4 linked regions of the Caenorhabditis elegans genome follow. The protein of the gene in region 2 purifies or fractionates together with the protein of the main gene of each other region. This does not show direct contact. Each region holds a gene or a part of one and is shown on either strand. Other genes may lie near its edges.

Region 1 (5,805 bases), on a different chromosome or scaffold from region 2:
ACCTATGTACCTCCCGAGGTGTCAAACTCTTGCCTACCCGCCTTATTATGTATATTCTATTTGGAACTACAGTAGTAAATAGTAAGCTAAAATTATTTTTAAGAGAGGAGACTGAAGCTCCGATTTTTTAAACTCCGATTTTTAAACGCACAATAACTTCATTTTACAAAAAAAAACACGGCTACAAAAAAATTTGGTTACAAGGAATATTTATTCATTTGACTATTCAAACCATAAGTCTCCTTTAGATTGATTGAGAATGAACTAGGAATAAAAACATAACTTTGTGATTGCTCTGAGGCATAAATGTATAGGGGAAAAGGTAAACATCTTGAAGGAAATACAGCAAGTGCGGTTGATGCACAATGGGTATTTTTAGATGAAAAAAAAACTAAAATATATGGCACATTAGGTAAAGAATTATATGAGCATCAGAAGTATTGTAGGCCTGATGCAAGGGAAGGGTGAAGGCGGCATCTAAAATTATAATTTTTGACTGTTAATTTTTCGATATTAAACTCACTAGAAGTTCACAATTTTCTTAACAGCCTTAGAGAACACCAGCATTCGACTTTTCTTCAAATCGTTCCTCTGGGCAAACTTCTCGTGTTCTTCCGCGACTTTCATTTCGAGAGCATTTTTCTCTGAACGAAGTGCAATCATGTTTGAGCGTACATTTCGGAGTGCTTTCATTTTCTGGTCGAATTCCCATTGCTTCATCTCCATCCACTCCTTTCGGATTTTCCCGCTCTCTTCGCGTGATGGAGGAAGACTTCTCAGCTTTTCTAGTTCTTTTTGAACGACAGCCATCTTATCGAGACCTCTTAGCTGCTCAGCCATTTTCGAATTTCCTTGTTCTAGTTCAGCAATTTCCTGGTCACTTTCAATTTTTTTCTCGAGTGCAAATTTCAGACGAAGCTCCAAAAACTTGATTTCCGCGTCTTTTCTTGCAATCATAATCGCTTCTCGCTCATCATGACTAAACTTCAAGAGCTCCTTAGTCTTCAACATATCAATTTTCTCAGCAGAAAGTTGATTGGTTGAATTCAGAGAATCAATCTCGTGTTGTACTTTCATTTTCTCGTTTTCAACAATACGCTGAAATTTGAGAGCTTCTGGATGTTGTTCAGTGGACGGATCTTCAGATGTTAAATATACAACGTTGACCACAGCTGGATCGAAGTCTGGCATTTCGAATTGAGGAGATGGAGGTGGAAGTTGTACATTTTGTGACATCAATGATGGTGTTCCTGGGGCAGCAGTTTTTGAAGAATTCAGATGAGGAGAGCGGACTGATGTATTCTGAAAGACATTTTCGATTCAATACTCAAAGAGATATTCTTACCATCGCGAGAATATCTCTTCCCGAATCGTTCAAACTCATACTCGGCATCGAATCTTGACTCGTCTGCATAGTTTTATTCTGTCGATATTCTGTCAGAGCTTCCATTGTTTGCCCATTCATCGACATTATAGAATTCTCCAACGCAACACGACGAGGAGATTCACGAGCAGAATTCAGAAGAGATCGACGTCGTTTAGAGATAGACTGGTTGATGCTCAAATTGAAAGCCGAATATGTTGAAATCTTGGACGTGTTCACTGCTTCCGAGTCGACATTGTTCATGATTTGCGATGTTTCATTATGGCCTTGGAATGTGAAATTCGCGCCAGTATTCGAGGTATCTAAAACATACTTTTAATAGAGTTATTGAATAAACGAAATTTACCATTTTTCTGCAAAGTCTCATCTCCGAATTGCTCCTGCTCTTTGTTACTGTTCAGTTCAACAGCAATAGACTCATGGACCATGCTAATGTCTTCACACGTTGTAATTTGCATAGTTTTAAGAAGAGTATTGTTGTCCAATTCCATCGAATTGTTGAGAGTTGCACTCGAGTTGTGAAGGGCTGATGGTTCTTTAGTGGCAAGAGAAGCTGACTGTGAAGCAAGGATGACTGGCGTCTTCGACGAACCATCGTCTTCCAACTTTTGTGCTACATCAATCATGGAGGAGTGCATAAAAGCCCTTTCTTCTTCGATGAGCATAAACGACTTTTTGTCGATTTCCGAATGAACAGAAGATTCGTTTATCATGGATACGTTTTCTGAAGCATTTTCCTCTTGCCGCTCGAGAGACGTGTAGACATCATTAGTTGTAGTCACTTCTACATTCGACTTTGGCAACGTCAAGGTTCCATCATTTTGTGTCTCGTCAATGCTCATTTCGTCACCGAACACGATAGATTTCTGCGAATCAATGATCGAGTTGTTCTGAAAGAAATACATTTTTATTGGAAAGTGTGCTTAAAACTTACCGCTCCGATCTTTACTCTGGCAGGACTCTGGAACACAGCCATGGTGTCGTTTACTGCAGGTGAATCTCGAATCACCGAAATGTCCATTAAATCCTCCTTTTGAAGTTGCAAGCCGTCGTTCTGCTGATTACCAGCCTCACATGGTTGTTGTTCAGTGATATCCATATCCATGTCTAAATCTTCCACCTCATCTGCGATACTCGGGTATTTCGTTGATTTGTCAGCGGCTTCAATCGTTTTCTCGAGATCCATGCTGCTCTTACTGACGTGTTTCGGGCTGTTGAACATCGCCATAGTGTCATTTACTAGAACTTTCGGAATAGAAATGTCCATAAGCTGACTTGTCTCGAATTGATCATTTTTCTTCTCCGCGTTTAATACGGCCTGATCAGTGATGTCCATGTCCACAGGTACGACGTTCGAGGCGATATTTATTAGATTCTGAGGAACACCCAAACCCTTATTACAGATGTCTCTCGGACTGTTGAAAATGGCCAAAGTATCATTAACTTGAACTTGTGGCGCCGAAATGTCCATCAGTTGACTTGGCCCGAATGTATCATTTTTCTTTTCTTCAATTAAAGTGTGATGTTCAGTGATGTCCATGTCTACAGGCATGACGTTTGAATTAATCGGAATCCGGATAGCATTCATGGTATTATTTTCATCTAATTTACTCGTATCCATTTCAGCGGCTTCCAAGTTTGTGAAATTGAACACATTCATCTGTAAAATTAAGATAATTTGGTTCCTTCTATTAATTCAACATACCGTTTCATCGCACTGGCCGCCCGCTGCTTTTGATTCATCGAGGTCCATCGGTATAGTTCTATTCATTGTAGCGTTATGCTTCGGAACTTTGGGAATCGTGAAAAGAACTGAACGATCAACTGACATATCCTTATCTTCTTGATTCGTTGTATTGAACATTGCTAAGGTATCATCCAGTGGCATACTAACAATTCGCTCGGTAACTTTTGTTGTGGTTTCGACGATCTTTTCGTATAATAGTGTTGGATCTCTTGTGGTTTCAAACAATCTCGCCGTTTCGTTGTTCTCGTTGATAGTTGTTTCGAGAGACATATCCATAGTTTTATCGAGATTACCACCGCCGAACACTTGAAATGAGGACGTGCAGGCCGGAGATTCGGAAATATCCATGTTTCCGCCACGTGGTCTTAAAAAGATTTTTACGTATTCATTATTTCACGTTAAAGGATGGAACTCACGTCAAAATACCATCTGATCCAATAGTGTCAGTAATCTTCTCCTTAACTGGTGTGGCGTCAAGAATTTTACCATGGTCCCTGTCATACTGCCTGAAATAATTATTTTATTGATAAATTATTCACTGACTCTAACTGACTTGACATGCTTCACGTTATGAAAGCTGACTCGTCGATTAGTTGTTGTGGAACTAGGCCCACTGTTCATGACGGTTTCCTCGATGGTTTCGACGGCTTGCCGCACCTTGAGAATCGAGTTCCGCTTCTTACGAGGCTCCATCGACATGGCTGTAAATATGTTTTAAAAATGGTAATAAATTATGATTAAAAAAATAACAAAACAACGGCAGCATAAACTTCGTTAAATGGGAAAAGTAAAAAAGTGAAAAGTAAACGAAGGCAGTTTTGCTTGGCGGCAAATCTCTGTTTGAAATTGAACTTGTACAATGGAGCGAAGCTGCACTCGACACACCACCGGTTCCGTAGAACGCACACTACGAGTAATTCCTTAACTTGGGGCAGTATAATACAATTTTAATAGTTTAAAAAACCAATTGTTTCAAAAATTAGATAAAATTCAATATTAATAAATAAATATATGTACCATTACAGCTGATACACATTGCAAAAATATTTTCTACGAAATTCGAATTCTCAAAATCCGTAGTTTCTCTTGTGAGTACTGTATTTAGATATTTTTTCAGGCAGATTTCAATTAATTTTTTTTTAACCGTTAAGCTTTATTCAACACATAGAGAATCAGGCGGTATCTCTCCAGTCAGGGAATTCTAATTTTATTTGCACTTCTGTTCCATCTGGTGTAGTTTTATCCAAGAGCAATTGACATGATTTCTGAATCAATCGAGCCAAATTGTGGTGTTCTACGACAGGCTCTAAACCAATACAAATTAAGTTCCCAGAATTTTGTGATTTCTCAACTTAAAGGCAATGGAGTTTGTGGTGGAGATTCTTCAGTGACAATTATAGTTTCCATGTTCTTCTCAGTTGCTGAGAACACATTAACTCGATTCTGGAAAAGTTTTAATGAAAATCTACGTAAAAATAAAAATTACCGGCTTCTTTTTCACATTGAGAAGTTCTGCAGAATACGGATCATCTGATGCGTTCCATTCCGATTCTGTATAATTTTGAAGCGCTTCTCCAGTTGAGCTTGGTGGAACTAAAACTTTTTATTAAAAAAAAAACCGAAAAGTTATATATATTACTCACGGCTTATAGAAGTATCAGATTTACTAGGATTTTCTTCCTTCTTTTTGTTGTCCATCTTGTATTTGAAAATGATTTGTAAAATACATTTCCATAAGTGAAAACTCAAAATTACGTGTATTGCATTTTTTTTTCGAAATCTTTTAATTAAGAAAAAACATCTTTTGAAAAGGAAATAATTTTATTCTTCAAAACGATAAAATCAAAATCAAGAGGCAAAAAATGGCAGAGCAGCAACCAAGCAAAGAAGAAAAGAAAGAAGATAAAAAAGACGAAAAAGAAGAGGAACTACCAGCACCAAGTGTTCAGCAATCTATTCGACAGTTGCCGAAGATTCAAATTACTGATGATGGTAAGGATGAAATTTCAATATTACACAGATGCGAAATTTTGTTAGTTTACGCTGAGAAGTACGGTGCCCGGTCTCGACACGACCGAAATATTTTTAGGCAGCGTTTTTAGTTAGAAAACAGGCGTATGGCTTTAAGGACTACAGTAACCCAACTCCAAGCTATTTTACAGTTTTCGCATCTGGACAATACAAAGTTTAATTTCCAGATAAGGGCGAACAGCTGCCAGAATGCACTGAAGGAGAGTGGGATGCCAGTGATGAACCGTTCTCAGCTGAACTTCTGAACGTCAAAAATGCTCCAGTAAATATTCAAATTTGTAGTAAATCCTTCTAATCATCCAATTTCAGAACAAGGTATCCGTGTTCAGTGGTCCTTATCGTTCCAAAGAAACCATTGAAAAAATCAAAAAGTTCAGAGCAGCAATGCCTCCTGTCATTCCAATCATTGACGAACGGCCAGATAAGCTGGCTCAAATGATGAGTCGTATTTTCAGTGAGATAATTGACGGACGTGATCTTTCGAAGATTAAGGTATTTTTCTTTATAAAGTAAATGACAAAGGAAATTACAAATTTTACAGGTGACAGTTAGCACACAATTGCCGCAATGATTGGATTTGACAATATGAGATCGGTTGTAAATATTGACCAATAAACAATTAATTTTCCACTCGTATTAGTTA
Region 2 (3,838 bases):
CTGTCCGAAAGTTGCCGAAAAATCGGTCATCGGCAACTTTCAGGCAATTTTTCTGCTCTTTTTCCAATTTTTCCACTAAAAATAATGTTATTTTCAGTAAAAACAAGTGAATTTCTATGTTTTGAGACTGATTTTATTGAAAAATTTGGGAAGTACAGGCTTTTTGTAGAATTTTCCGAAAATAATTGAGAACAGGAATATTCACCTTATTATATACTAAAAACCGCGGAAAAATCTGATTTTTAATGTTTTTTTATAAAAAACCTGCAAAAATTCATTTTCCGAGCTTATCTACAAAAAATTCTATTTTGCCGCATTCTCTCGGTTTATATGAAAATAACACACTTTTCAGCAGAAATATTGGAGAAAATGCCCAAAAATTGCCTGAAAGTTGCATTTTTCTGCGTTTTTTTCCACTTTTTCCACTAAAAACAATGCTATTTTCAGATAAACCAAGTGAATTTTCACTGAAAAACGTGGGAAACACAGGCTTTTCCGCTGGAAAATATCTTGCGCGTAATTTTCCGCGAAAATCCGCTCAAAATATTACCATTATTGAACACAACCAACGGCTGCTGCACAATAACCACATTATTAGTTCGTCTCTTGATAAGATCAGCGATTGTGGATATTTTTCCGTGAAGAGCCAACAAATCTCGATGATGACCGACTCTTGAGCGCAGCCAGCCGATTAAACCGCCAATTTCCTTCTCCAAATTCGGAAGTGAGCTGAGATAAGGCATGTGAATTGAGAAGGCGATTTGAGCCCATCGGATGGTTGGACGAATGCTGGAAAATCAATAAATTAGGAGGAATTAGTACTAAAAATTCGATTTACTCTGCAGCATTCCTCGTTTTCAAGCGAGATTCGATGATTTTGAGCAATGGCAAGACCTGCATCGGCTGGAGATCACGGAGGGTAGCGTGAATAATTTCAGAATTCAAATTTCTAATGACTGAGTCGATTTTTGCACTATCATTAGCCATTATTCCCTGAGTAAGCAGAACACATTGTGATCCACCGCCGCTACCACTCGTTTTTCCCTTTTTGAGTTCAGAAGTTGGCCTGAAAATCGGAAATAATTGAATATTATCGAAAATCCACCAATAATCCTACGTGGCTGGCTCTTTTTCACGATCTCCGAGCGGTTTGTTGGCCTCTTTCTCCGATTCACTCAGTTTTTTCCCATTTCGAAGCGAACCGTTAATATGCGAATGCCCATTTACTACAGGGGACTCGATTTTCTCAGGAGTTGCAGGAGATGTAACTGCCGCCACATTTGATTTCCTGGCTTTCCGTTCTCGAGCCATTTTCTGGAAACTGCAAAAAAATATTGGAAAATTCGATTTTAAGGCCATTTTACGCACAATAATCGCAAAAAAGATACATTTCACGGTAAAAAAGCTTTAAAAACTAATAAGAACAATAAAAAATCAATAAAATACGCCTGAAAACCATGAAAAACTCTTCAAAAACGCCTGGAAATAAGGAAAATAAAGATTAAAAATTTTGCACCGCAAACGCGCAAGCGACGAGAAATGCGTCAGTGACGGGGTTGGCGCGGCAAATTAACCCCGCGAATTTTGAACGTGACCCCTTCATTCGGTGGATTTTGGGCCCAAAATTTGCGATTTTCTCTTATTTCCATTTCATTTGCGGCAGTTTTTTCCGGAAAATACACGAAACTGGCTTATTTCAACATGAAAATCCAACTTTTTTAAGCGAAAATTGTCTAAAATTGAAATAAAAATGCAGAAAACGGGTTTGTCTATCTGAAAATAATGTTTTACGGCATTTTTCGGCAAACTGCAAGCTTTTTAACAAAAATGAGTTTTATTTTCAAATAGAAAAACCCGTTTTCTATCAATTTTAGATCAAAAAAGTTGGATTTTCATATTAAAATAAGCCATTTCTTTGTTTTCAACGTTATTTTCTCATTTTTAATCACTAATTCATTTCAGAATGTCTCAAAAATCAAACGACACCACATTCTCGGTCAGAGCCGCGCTCTTCGCATCACCCGTCGGCTCATCATCAGCAGTTCCAAAGAAGAAAGTGGCTCGAGAGGTGCCACGTGCAGGGCCGCCAGTTTTTGCCCTCGAGCACGATGTTTCGGAAGTCACCGACAGAAATAAAGACGGCACCTTTCTGGCTGCAGACGCGTGCGCTAGTGGCCCTACTTTGAAGGTTCCAGACGAAACACAAGGTTGCCCAGAAACTTTCAGTGTTTCGGAACACGAAGATGACGACGACGTTGAGCCGATGGAAGTTGATGGAACCATCGTTCCGTCGCCCCAGCGAGCAACGCCGACACGTGGCGTAACTCCTTGCGAAAAATCGACGACTCCACGCAGAAGATCCTCGAGAAAGTCGATGCCAACGCCTGGGAAGCGTCTGTTCTTCACCAGCAAAGACACTACGAACGAGGATCGCAAGGCTGATGACTCGACGCAACTGGAGCTTCTGATGGCAAAGATTCCGCAGGAGATGTCGGGTTACATGAAAAAGTTGGCCACCGACATCAAAGAGGTAGTATTATCGATTTTTAACTTTACATTTAAATCTAAAATTTTCATTTTCAGATGAGCCAATACGATGCACAGCTGGCGCGGAATATCGACGACATGGAAGCGGTTTTCAAATCCCGCGAAACTAAGCTCAAGTCAGCTATTGAAATCGCCAAGGACAGCTTCATCTCGTCCGCTCTGCCTCTTCGCCTCGAGACCCTGGACATGACTCTGCGTAAAGAAGAATCGCCAAATGATATCGTTGCGAGACTTCACGGAAGTTTTCTCGACAAAACCCAGGATGCCGGAAACGTGAATACTGCACAAAAGGAGAACCAGCAGCTGGAGGATGAGCGCGGGATGCTGGTGAGAGTTTCAAATTATTTAAATATGATTTTTAAAAATAAAAATACAATATTATATTTCCAGGAAGAAAAGCTGGAGAGTCTCAACAAGATCAAGAGAGAGAAGGATGAATTTCTGGCGAAAATGCGAAAAGAGGAAGAGGAAGCGCTCGCTCGCCGGGAGGAAATCAAGCAGGGCTTCGAGCGAATCGATGCTCTAATGAGCAAAATCAAGCCGATTCCAATTTTTGAATTCTGATTTCTGATTTCTCACGCTCTGTATAATATTCTATTTCTGACACAATTGATTTCATAAATACATGTATAATATTTTATTCATAGCCTAGGTCTTGCTTATTAAGTGTCAATTTCATTACGTGTACTTTAATTATTGGTTTTGAGTATCTGAAGTTGAGATCCTAGCTGCTTTGGTCCTTTATAAATATATGTTTCTTTAATTTGAGTTGCTATCGCTATCGAAGGTCGTCCTCTTCCTCCTCATTTGCATGTTTTTCTAGCTTCTTCCCCATTAGTTTCCCGCTGACTCCACCGTCGACGAGGTTCTCGAAAACCACGTCGCCATTGTTTCGAAAACAGGAAAATGGCATTTCGCGAAGTGTTGTGAGACCACACTGGAATTTTATTAGTTTTTGAAGCTTTTAGATCGAAAATTCATCGAGGCACCACGGATTCAAGTGCCAACGCAAAGAAACGGGCCAGATCCGATATCCCACCGGTTCTAGATTTCGTGGTGCCTCAATTGGTCTTGCCACGTGGTCAAAGGTCTCGCCACGCTTCCGATGTGGTGTGTGTGCCTTTAAACACGGGTACTGTATTTTTTATAGGTTTTCTGACTTTTCGCTCTATTTTTTTCGTAAAAAGCGGAAATTTTATTGAATAAGAAACTACTATCCTTGCTGAAAATATTCTGAGAAGCCACAGCAGTTGCAACGGTTGCCACGTACTCGCAATCTTCCTTCACAGCA
Region 3 (3,569 bases), on a different chromosome or scaffold from region 2:
GAAATTATTTGTAGATTTGGAAGCGATAAATTCAAGATTAAGGTGTTTTTAGTGAAATTTTGAAATTCAAGTATTTATTTCAAATTTGCAGCTATTCAAGAAACAAAAAATAGGAAGCCATGTAACACTGATCGACTCTATTTCATTTCTCGGATTTTTGCCTGAAATCGAGCTCTGCCGTCAGGGATTCCTGGGAAGCAAACGATCAAATAAGCTGAAAATGGACATTACAACAGATTCTAAACTTGGAAATAAGATTCTTTTTTCCTTATCACAGTACTTGTTAAACGAAACGAAACGTCCTCAAACTGCTCTTTTCTCGTTCTCTTCAAAACCGAAACTTCGTGGATTCTGTATCATGGTGGCGTATGAGAGTGGTCCGTTCTGGGAGTACGGATTTCGTAATGGAACCTCTGAAAAATCTCTTTTTAAAAGATTTTTGGGATTAAAATTTCGAAAAAATTGGACAATTTCTCCAATTTTTGGTAAAATATTCGATTTTGAATTTTCGAATCAGCCAAAACTAGGAGTTTTAGCTGAAATTAGCCACTTTTTCGAAATTTTTAACCACTCAAAAAAAAATTTTGAGATTTTCTTTGGCAATCTCATTACAAAATTTGTTTTTTTTTTGGCAAATTTGTAAAATCCAACTGTAAAATCCAATTTCAGAAAACGATGAAACATCAATCACCCTGATTCAACTCAAAGCATCTCTGGGAAAATGTCTCTGGAAAACCCTGAAATTTGTAAATCAGGTCAGCTTTTTCTGGTTTTTGTTTGAGAATAAAATCAAATTTTTCAGTCAGGTGAACATTCTAGACCGCTTCCCGACGACTCATACGAGCAAATTGCACCGATAGAACGGAAGCAGCTGAAACGAAGATTGTCTCGAATCGAACGGATCGCTTCTTCAGTTGAAGAAAAAAGAGCACAATTTGAGGCTTTCGCCAGGGAATATGACGCTTTGGATGCTCGAGACGCCTTCATGAAGTTCACTTCCACGTGGCAAACGGATCAGGGACTTTTGACAGCGCCCACGCCCTTCGAAGATGATAATAATAATAAATGATTTATTTTTTGAGATTTTTAGAGGATCGAATTTTAGAATAAAGCACTTGGAATTTATAGGTATTTAGGTTTGTTTCGTTGTTTTATTTATTGGTTTACAGCCAAAATTACTTTTTTTTTAACTTTTTAATTCCTCCTATTGATTACCCAGGAACTGCGATTTTCCACCGAAAATACGGTACCAGGTCTCGACACGACAATTTTGTGCTGAATGCGATAGGAATTTCCCAGAGAATCGAAAAATATGCCTTTTTTGATTTTATAAATTTTTTCCGATTTTTAGAGTTAAAAAAAAAAAGGAAAAAGCGACAATTTTCGACTTTTGATTTTGAGAAAATTCCAATTTTTGGATAATTTTCCGTCATTTTTTATTTTTTAAAGACTTTCTTTATTTATTTTTCATAATTTTCATCCAGTTTTTAACTAACAAAACTATTGTCACACAGAAAACCATGAAAAATCGATAAAATATCCGCAGCGACAAAAGTTTGAAATTACAGTAATCCTTAAAAGCGCACACCCGTTTCATTCAACAAATAATTGTCGTTTCGAGACCAGAAACAGTATTTTTGGAGGAAAATTGCAAAATTTTTACGCCTGTTTAATAATAAATATAAATATGTATCCATGTTCCATGTCCGCAATGCGACGTGAGCGTGTATGCACACCTCACCTCCCGCGAACCAATAATCTTCAAAAACAGTTTTTCGCCCTCATTTCTTGATTTAATCCTGAACATTTATTCTTTAAAAATTCAATTCAGAAACTAAAAATGGAGAGCGAATTGTCGGGAATCTCTAATGAAAATCAAATCTCGTTTTTCGGATTTTCGGCCGGTTCGTTCAGCGATTCCAGTGAGTTTTATTGAATTTTCGAACGTTTTTTTGCGGAAAAATCAGAAATCTTTCAGTTTTCAATATTTACGTCGACGCATGGGAAGAAGTTTGCAGCAATGAGTTTAAGAACTCATTGAAAAAGGTTTTTTTTTCAAAAAAGAAATTTAATTTTAAAAAATTTAATTTTCAGCTCACCGACAAAGACCGTCTCTGCTTGCTATCCTTCCCATTCAGCGACAAAACTAACGAGAAAGCATTCAAAATGATGAAGGTTTGACATATTTCTCGATTAAATATCTGAATTTATGCCAATTTTTTTCAGAGATTCTGCGTCACAAATATCTTCAGAATTCCCGCCTCTGTGACTCTTCCAGAATGCGTAAGAATTGCCTTTTTTCGGAAATTATTTATTTAAAAAATCATTTTTCAGAAGAAAATGCTCATCGCGTCGGCCAAGGAGCACAAAAGTCTGAAACAGGTCGAGAAGGAGTTCGACGAGAAATTGGAGAAAATTCGACAGGTAAATAAAAATAAATGAGGAACCTATCAGAATTTTTTTTTTCTTCACTACTAAATGGACTTAAAAATGCGGAAAATATACTGAAAATAGCTTAAAACTGTCCAAAATAGACTACAATGACTGAAAAAGGCTGCAAGTTGAGTAAAAATGACCGCGACTAGACTGAAAATCGTCAAAAAATTCAAGAAAAATTGCTTAATTTTAGAAACCTGCTAAAATCGCCAGTTTTTGCATCTAACCTTTCCAATTTTCACATAAAAGCTTCAAATTCCAAATGTTCAGCTCCGCATCAAACTGGCAAAACGACATGACGAGCTAGAAGCAGTGAACAATGCTATTGAAGTGCTCCATGTGATGGAGAAGAGCCAAGAGCAGCTTATAAGCCAGAAGAGAATTGTCCCCGATAGCCCAACACGAATGTCTCCAGTTTAACCTTATTTGTTCGAAAATCGATATTTTAAATATTTGATTTCTCTTTATTTTCTTTTTTTTTAATCCTATGCTAATTTTTTTCTTGAGCTCAAATTTGAGTGCTTATGAAGCTACACATTTACCAACTTAAACAACTATATAAAAATAAATTTATTTTTGAGAAAAATCGTGAAAAGGTACATGAAAAATAGCATACAATCATTCCACCGAACATCTTTGTGACCCGTATTTCATCGTCTAGAAACACAAAATCAAATCATTTTGAAATAAATACACAGAACAAAAAGAATAATCACAGCAATTACAAGGATCGAGAGGAAGTACAGAACACGTTTTTTCGACGAAATACACGATTTTTTGTCATCCAAAGTTTTCCCGTCGTCTTTATCAATTTCCAGGCTGATCTCGGAGCCCATGCCGAGCTGCTTGATTTTGTGCTCGTGCTCATCCATATGATTGCACGCACAGCCGAAGCAGAACGTGTGCTCTCCGCTTTCTCGGCGATCTTCCCAATTTGCATAGTTTTGGAGCATGCATGTCGGGCAGTAGTAGACGCTGGAATTAAATTTTGAGAAAAAATTATTTTTTGTTTTTTTTTAAGCTGCGATGTTCCTTTTTTTTTCTTAAAATTTTGTGAGATTTCATGAAAAAATCTTTAATTCTTTTAATTTTTATTACTAGCTACGATTTTAAAGGCGCACACTCGTATTTAC
Region 4 (4,065 bases), on a different chromosome or scaffold from region 2:
AACATTATTTGAAAAAGCTTACTGCATAATTTGTAGAGTGAATTTTTCAGAAATACAATACAAAAATTGAGAAATGAACGAAAAATGTCAATGTTGAATGCAATAACTCGAGGCCCGCACGATTTATTTAAATTTATTTAGAATTTTGGTAGGATAATATTCAATTCAGAAGGACAATTCCAACTTGTAGAGCTAATGAGCGAAGAGAAGTTTAAAATTTCTGGAAAAGTTTTCATTTCAAGATAATTTTTTTTTCAAAAAACGTTTCAAAACTTCCGACTCTCACTTATTCCCTGTTTGAGCTTTCTCCAAAATAAGAAACCACGCCCACTTTTTGTCTTACTGTAGTCTTAAAGACGCAAACAAAAAAATACAAGGCAAAAAATTCAAAATTTCTAATTTTATTTTTAATTAAAAACAGAGGCACATAATCTCCCCGTAAATACCACTTGAGTGAATTCTTACCTGAAAAGTAAATTGGTGTGAAATTTCTAGAGCCTGGGAATGAAAAGAAAACATTTGAAAATAAAGACCACATGATTTATTTAGACTCAGTTAAAATTTTGTTATTGGTATGGAAGAAAGCATAACATTTACATTGAATAGAGATCAAATGAAGTGAAATTTTCGAGTTGAGTCATTCTATTTGAAAACGGAAAAACTCGAATCGTTAGGTTGTGGATCACAATTTTCCGTGTTCTCTCCGGCGTCGATTGTCGATGATCCGAATGTGTAATCACTCAGAAGGCGTCCGGTAAGAGAGCTTTTTAGACGTTCCATTTCACGTGCAGCTGCAGTGTTCTTCTCAAAAGCTACTTTCTGGGTTTCTTTGAACATTGCATTAAGTTTTGCGAATTTTGCAACAGCATCTTGGCAAGAGTTGGTGATTTGGGAAATCGTCTCACTGTGTGCGTTTTTTAGAGCGAGGAGTTCTTGCTTCTGAAAAAAATGTTGGTGAGTTTTATGAAGATTGATCTGACAAAAACCTTTTTAGCAATTTCCTGTGACACATCTGGCTGACTAGTTTTCAAATTTGCGATTTGCCTGAAAGATTTACATCGTTTAAAAAAATGTTTTCAAAGTATCAAATAAATTCCTCACTCGGTAATCTCCTCAATTCTACGCTGACGCTCTTCACTTTTCTGCGTGTGTTCTATACGCAATTGTTCATGAGTCTCCGACTGCTCGACGAGTCGCTTTTGTGCCGTTTCCATCTCCTTCATCATAAAATCCAATTGCTCCTCCATTTCCTTGAGCTTTCGAAGATTCTCACTTTCAACATCGATCAGGTCAATGATAACTTCTCGAACTTCAGTCCACTGATGGATCTTCTCAATAATCACTGGCACGTTCTTCTCCGAGTTGATGCAAATTTCACGAGCCTCGAGTTTTGCTTGAAGGCCTTTTCTGAAAATAATTACTTTTATTTTGAATTTTTGGAGAGACTGAAGATATATCAGTACTTTGATGATTCAAGACAATCGCGGAGCTCTTCAATGTGACGTTTCCTTTCCTCCATTTCTTGTTTCAGCTGTTCCGGCGATGTCAGAACTTCTTCATTCAAATGCTCAATTGTCTTTTTACCAGTTAGCATTTCCTTTTCGAGGGCTTGAATGTGCAGAATAGCTTCTTCTTTCTGCTTGTCGAGTTCTTCATTAATTTGACGAGTTTCGGTATATTCGTTCACAACATTTTTAAGTTCTGCCTTCGCATTGCTCTGTTCGTTGATTAATTCATGCTCATGACGTTTTCTTATGCTTTGTTTCGCGAGAAGATCATTTTTCTTCTTCTCGGCTTCTAACAACTCTTCCCGAATCTTTTCCATTTCGAACTTTCGATCACTGAACTCTTCGCTAATTTCATTGAACGCTGGAGTGGCCAATTCGTGAAGTTTCAGAAAATCTACAAGAAAACTTGTCAGCTTTCTGAATCGATGTTCGTGTTTTGCAGGTGTCACGAGATCGCACATCGTCAAGTCCAGCTTGTTGCCAGAATTATCTTTGATAAATGCTTTCCTGAAAAAATATTTCAGCAAATCTAACATTAAAATTAAAATCTTACATGCATTGGAAGAGAATAATGATAGGAATGCTCTTTTTATGCAATTCTGGATCATAATCACAGTTGGCGGACAGCGGAAGGGTCGTCAGCGAGCTTTCCGACACATTTAACACAAGCCTCACAAAATTAGCAAATATTTGTTGCGCTATTTCTGCCTGAAATCGGGTTATTTGTGCTGATGAATTCAATATTCTGTTCAAACTTACGGTTGGCTTGATAATGTCATCGGCGACAAGGCCCATATGCAATTTTTGACCAAGATACTTTGAAATCATCCGCGGATCATACACAATTAGTACAACGTTTGACATTTCTCCTGAAAAATGGAATTTCAGTTCTAAAAACACAAAAATAAAGTTAGAAATTGTTAAAAACAAAAAAGTTTATTTGAATTCGCCGAAGAGCGCGCCAAAACATGTGACATTTCTCGGCCGTGAAAACTAGGCCACCGCGGCCACAAACAAATTTTAGTTTTCTTCGCTGAAAAAAACATGTTTTTCAGTCTGAAATCAGAGTTTTTAGTATGAAACAAGATGGACGAGGCTTCCTGTAGATTTCCAGAATGGGTTTCTTCAAAAATCATCGATTATTACGCAGAGCAGGTAACATAAATCGCTGTGATGAAATAGGGACAAAATTTTTTTAATTTCAGAACATCAAAGCGCTGTTCGATTGGCAGATTGATGTGTTGAATGAGGCAAGACAATTTGAAGATCAACACTTGATATTCAGTGCGCCAACAAGTGCTGGGAAAAGCATTGTAGCTGAACTTTTATGTATTATTTTATCTGGTTTAAAGAATAAATGTTTAAAAACTGTAATTTTCAGCATGGAAAGTCGCTTCAACTGGTAGAAAGGTACTCTTCGTACTTCCTTATATCTCCGTGGCTCGAGAGAAACTTCATCAAATTCAACGGTGTTGGAGACGAGATGACATTTCTGTCTGTGGCTTCATTGGTCCACAGGCCTCAAATCCAAATGAGTGGCTTGGGGCAGTTTGTACCATCGAAAAAGCAGCAAGTTTGACAAATCGAGCATTATCAGAAGATTGGTTTGAGGAAATTGGTTAGATAAATCGATTTTAATTTAAAATTTTCACAAAAAGTAGCTTTCAGGAATGATAGTCGTTGATGAAATGCACATGGTTTTCGATTCGTCTCGTGGTGCACACATTGAGCACATGCTCTCGAAAGTTTTGCTCTGGAACCAATCTGCACTGGAAAAAGTTAGAATTATCGGAATGAGTGCAACTATTCCAGAACTTTATCGAATAGGCAAATGGCTGGACGGTGCGAAAGTTTTCGAAGCAAGATTTCGACCAATTGTTCTACAAAATCATATTGTAATTGGTTCGGAGTTGAGGAAATCTGGAGATAACAAAGTTCTAAGAGAATTCTCTGAAGATCCATTAATATTGCTTACCGAAGAGAGTTTTCGCCGCAATTCTCAGACTTTGGTAATGATTTCTTCGAAACTTGATGCCGAGAAGACTGCTTTGAATATTGCGTCGAGATTCCATGAGATCAATAAAACCGACAGCTCATTGTTGGAAATATTAAAAGAACGAGCCAATGGACTATTATTTATAAAGCATGGATTGGAACGGAATGGTTGCAAGGATCGGAATGTTATGTCAACACTTGCATGGGGAGTAGCATATCATCATGCTGGATTGACGATGGAGGAAAGAGAATGCATTGAACTAGGATTTCGGGAGAAAAATATTGTTATTCTTGTGGCTACAAGTACTTTGGCTTCAGGTGAGTGTTTTAAAATTTTAATTGTGGTCAACCGAAATATCGGAAGAAATTAAAAGCAAAATGTTTGTTGAAATATTTTTGGGGAAAAAATTAAATCAAACAATAATTTTCATTTAGGGTGAAGATTTGTTGATAAAAATTTACTTTAAACTTTCAAAAAATACTATTCACTCAAGAATTTCCAGTTGTTTGCTAATCCCGCTCTTCCCTTTTTTTTAAATCGAAAAGCGAAAATTTTTCGGTT

What was found.
Region 1: the proteins of knl-3 (region 2) and knl-1 purify together in Caenorhabditis elegans (affinity purification with mass spectrometry; 2 studies listed by BioGRID). This does not show direct contact.
Region 3: the proteins of knl-3 (region 2) and mis-12 purify together in Caenorhabditis elegans (affinity purification with mass spectrometry; 2 studies listed by BioGRID). This does not show direct contact.
Region 4: the proteins of knl-3 (region 2) and him-10 purify together in Caenorhabditis elegans (affinity purification with mass spectrometry, with the first as the bait; one study listed by BioGRID). This does not show direct contact.

What each region holds. Positions count from the first base shown.
Region 1 is NC_003281.10:8,248,661-8,254,465, reverse strand, and holds knl-1 (Outer kinetochore KNL1 complex subunit knl-1), read right to left. Parts: upstream 3,835-5,805; 5' UTR 3,831-3,834; coding exon 3,685-3,830; intron 3,638-3,684; coding exon 3,548-3,637; intron 3,496-3,547; coding exon 3,090-3,495; intron 3,045-3,089; coding exon 2,319-3,044; intron 2,275-2,318; coding exon 1,731-2,274; intron 1,687-1,730; coding exon 1,346-1,686; intron 1,303-1,345; coding exon 523-1,302; downstream 1-522. Other genes in the region: C02F5.2 (DUF5356 domain-containing protein), read right to left, coding at 4,304-4,437, 4,484-4,574, 4,618-4,724, 4,775-4,829; C02F5.10 (uncharacterized protein), read left to right, coding at 4,994-5,123, 5,330-5,424, 5,472-5,654, 5,704-5,733. UniProt on the Caenorhabditis elegans protein: Acts as a component of the outer kinetochore KNL1 complex that serves as a docking point for spindle assembly checkpoint components and mediates microtubule-kinetochore interactions.
Region 2 is NC_003283.11:1,867,251-1,871,088, forward strand, and holds knl-3 (Kinetochore NuLl), read left to right. Parts: upstream 1-1,962; 5' UTR 1,963-1,963; coding exon 1,964-2,530; intron 2,531-2,583; coding exon 2,584-2,874; intron 2,875-2,937; coding exon 2,938-3,111; 3' UTR 3,112-3,308; downstream 3,309-3,838. Other genes in the region: T10B5.3 (Small-subunit processome Utp12 domain-containing protein), read right to left, coding at 551-789, 839-1,066, 1,118-1,311; T10B5.4 (aralkylamine N-acetyltransferase), read right to left, coding at 3,326-3,484, 3,766-3,838.
Region 3 is NC_003279.8:3,603,966-3,607,534, reverse strand, and holds mis-12 (uncharacterized protein), read left to right. Parts: upstream 1-1,831; 5' UTR 1,832-1,840; coding exon 1,841-1,922; intron 1,923-1,978; coding exon 1,979-2,046; intron 2,047-2,094; coding exon 2,095-2,175; intron 2,176-2,226; coding exon 2,227-2,283; intron 2,284-2,334; coding exon 2,335-2,424; intron 2,425-2,629; coding exon of another isoform or gene 2,630-2,662; exon of another isoform or gene 2,663-2,706; coding exon 2,707-2,856; 3' UTR 2,857-3,020; downstream 3,021-3,569. Other genes in the region: Y47G6A.25 (uncharacterized protein), read left to right, coding at 1-42, 92-377, 670-755, 803-1,069; Y47G6A.31 (RING-type domain-containing protein), read right to left, coding at 3,108-3,411.
Region 4 is NC_003281.10:5,801,572-5,805,636, reverse strand, and holds him-10 (Kinetochore protein Nuf2 homolog), read right to left. Parts: upstream 2,378-4,065; 5' UTR 2,373-2,377; coding exon 2,268-2,372; intron 2,217-2,267; coding exon 2,062-2,216; intron 2,016-2,061; coding exon 1,464-2,015; intron 1,408-1,463; coding exon 1,102-1,407; intron 1,045-1,101; coding exon 987-1,044; intron 940-986; coding exon 643-939; 3' UTR 525-642; downstream 1-524. Other genes in the region: R12B2.3 (Ras-associating domain-containing protein), read right to left, coding at 23-27; polq-1 (DNA polymerase theta), read left to right, coding at 2,595-2,663, 2,714-2,837, 2,890-3,126, 3,177-3,821. UniProt on the Caenorhabditis elegans protein: Acts as a component of the essential kinetochore-associated NDC80 complex, which is required for chromosome segregation in mitosis and meiosis and spindle checkpoint activity.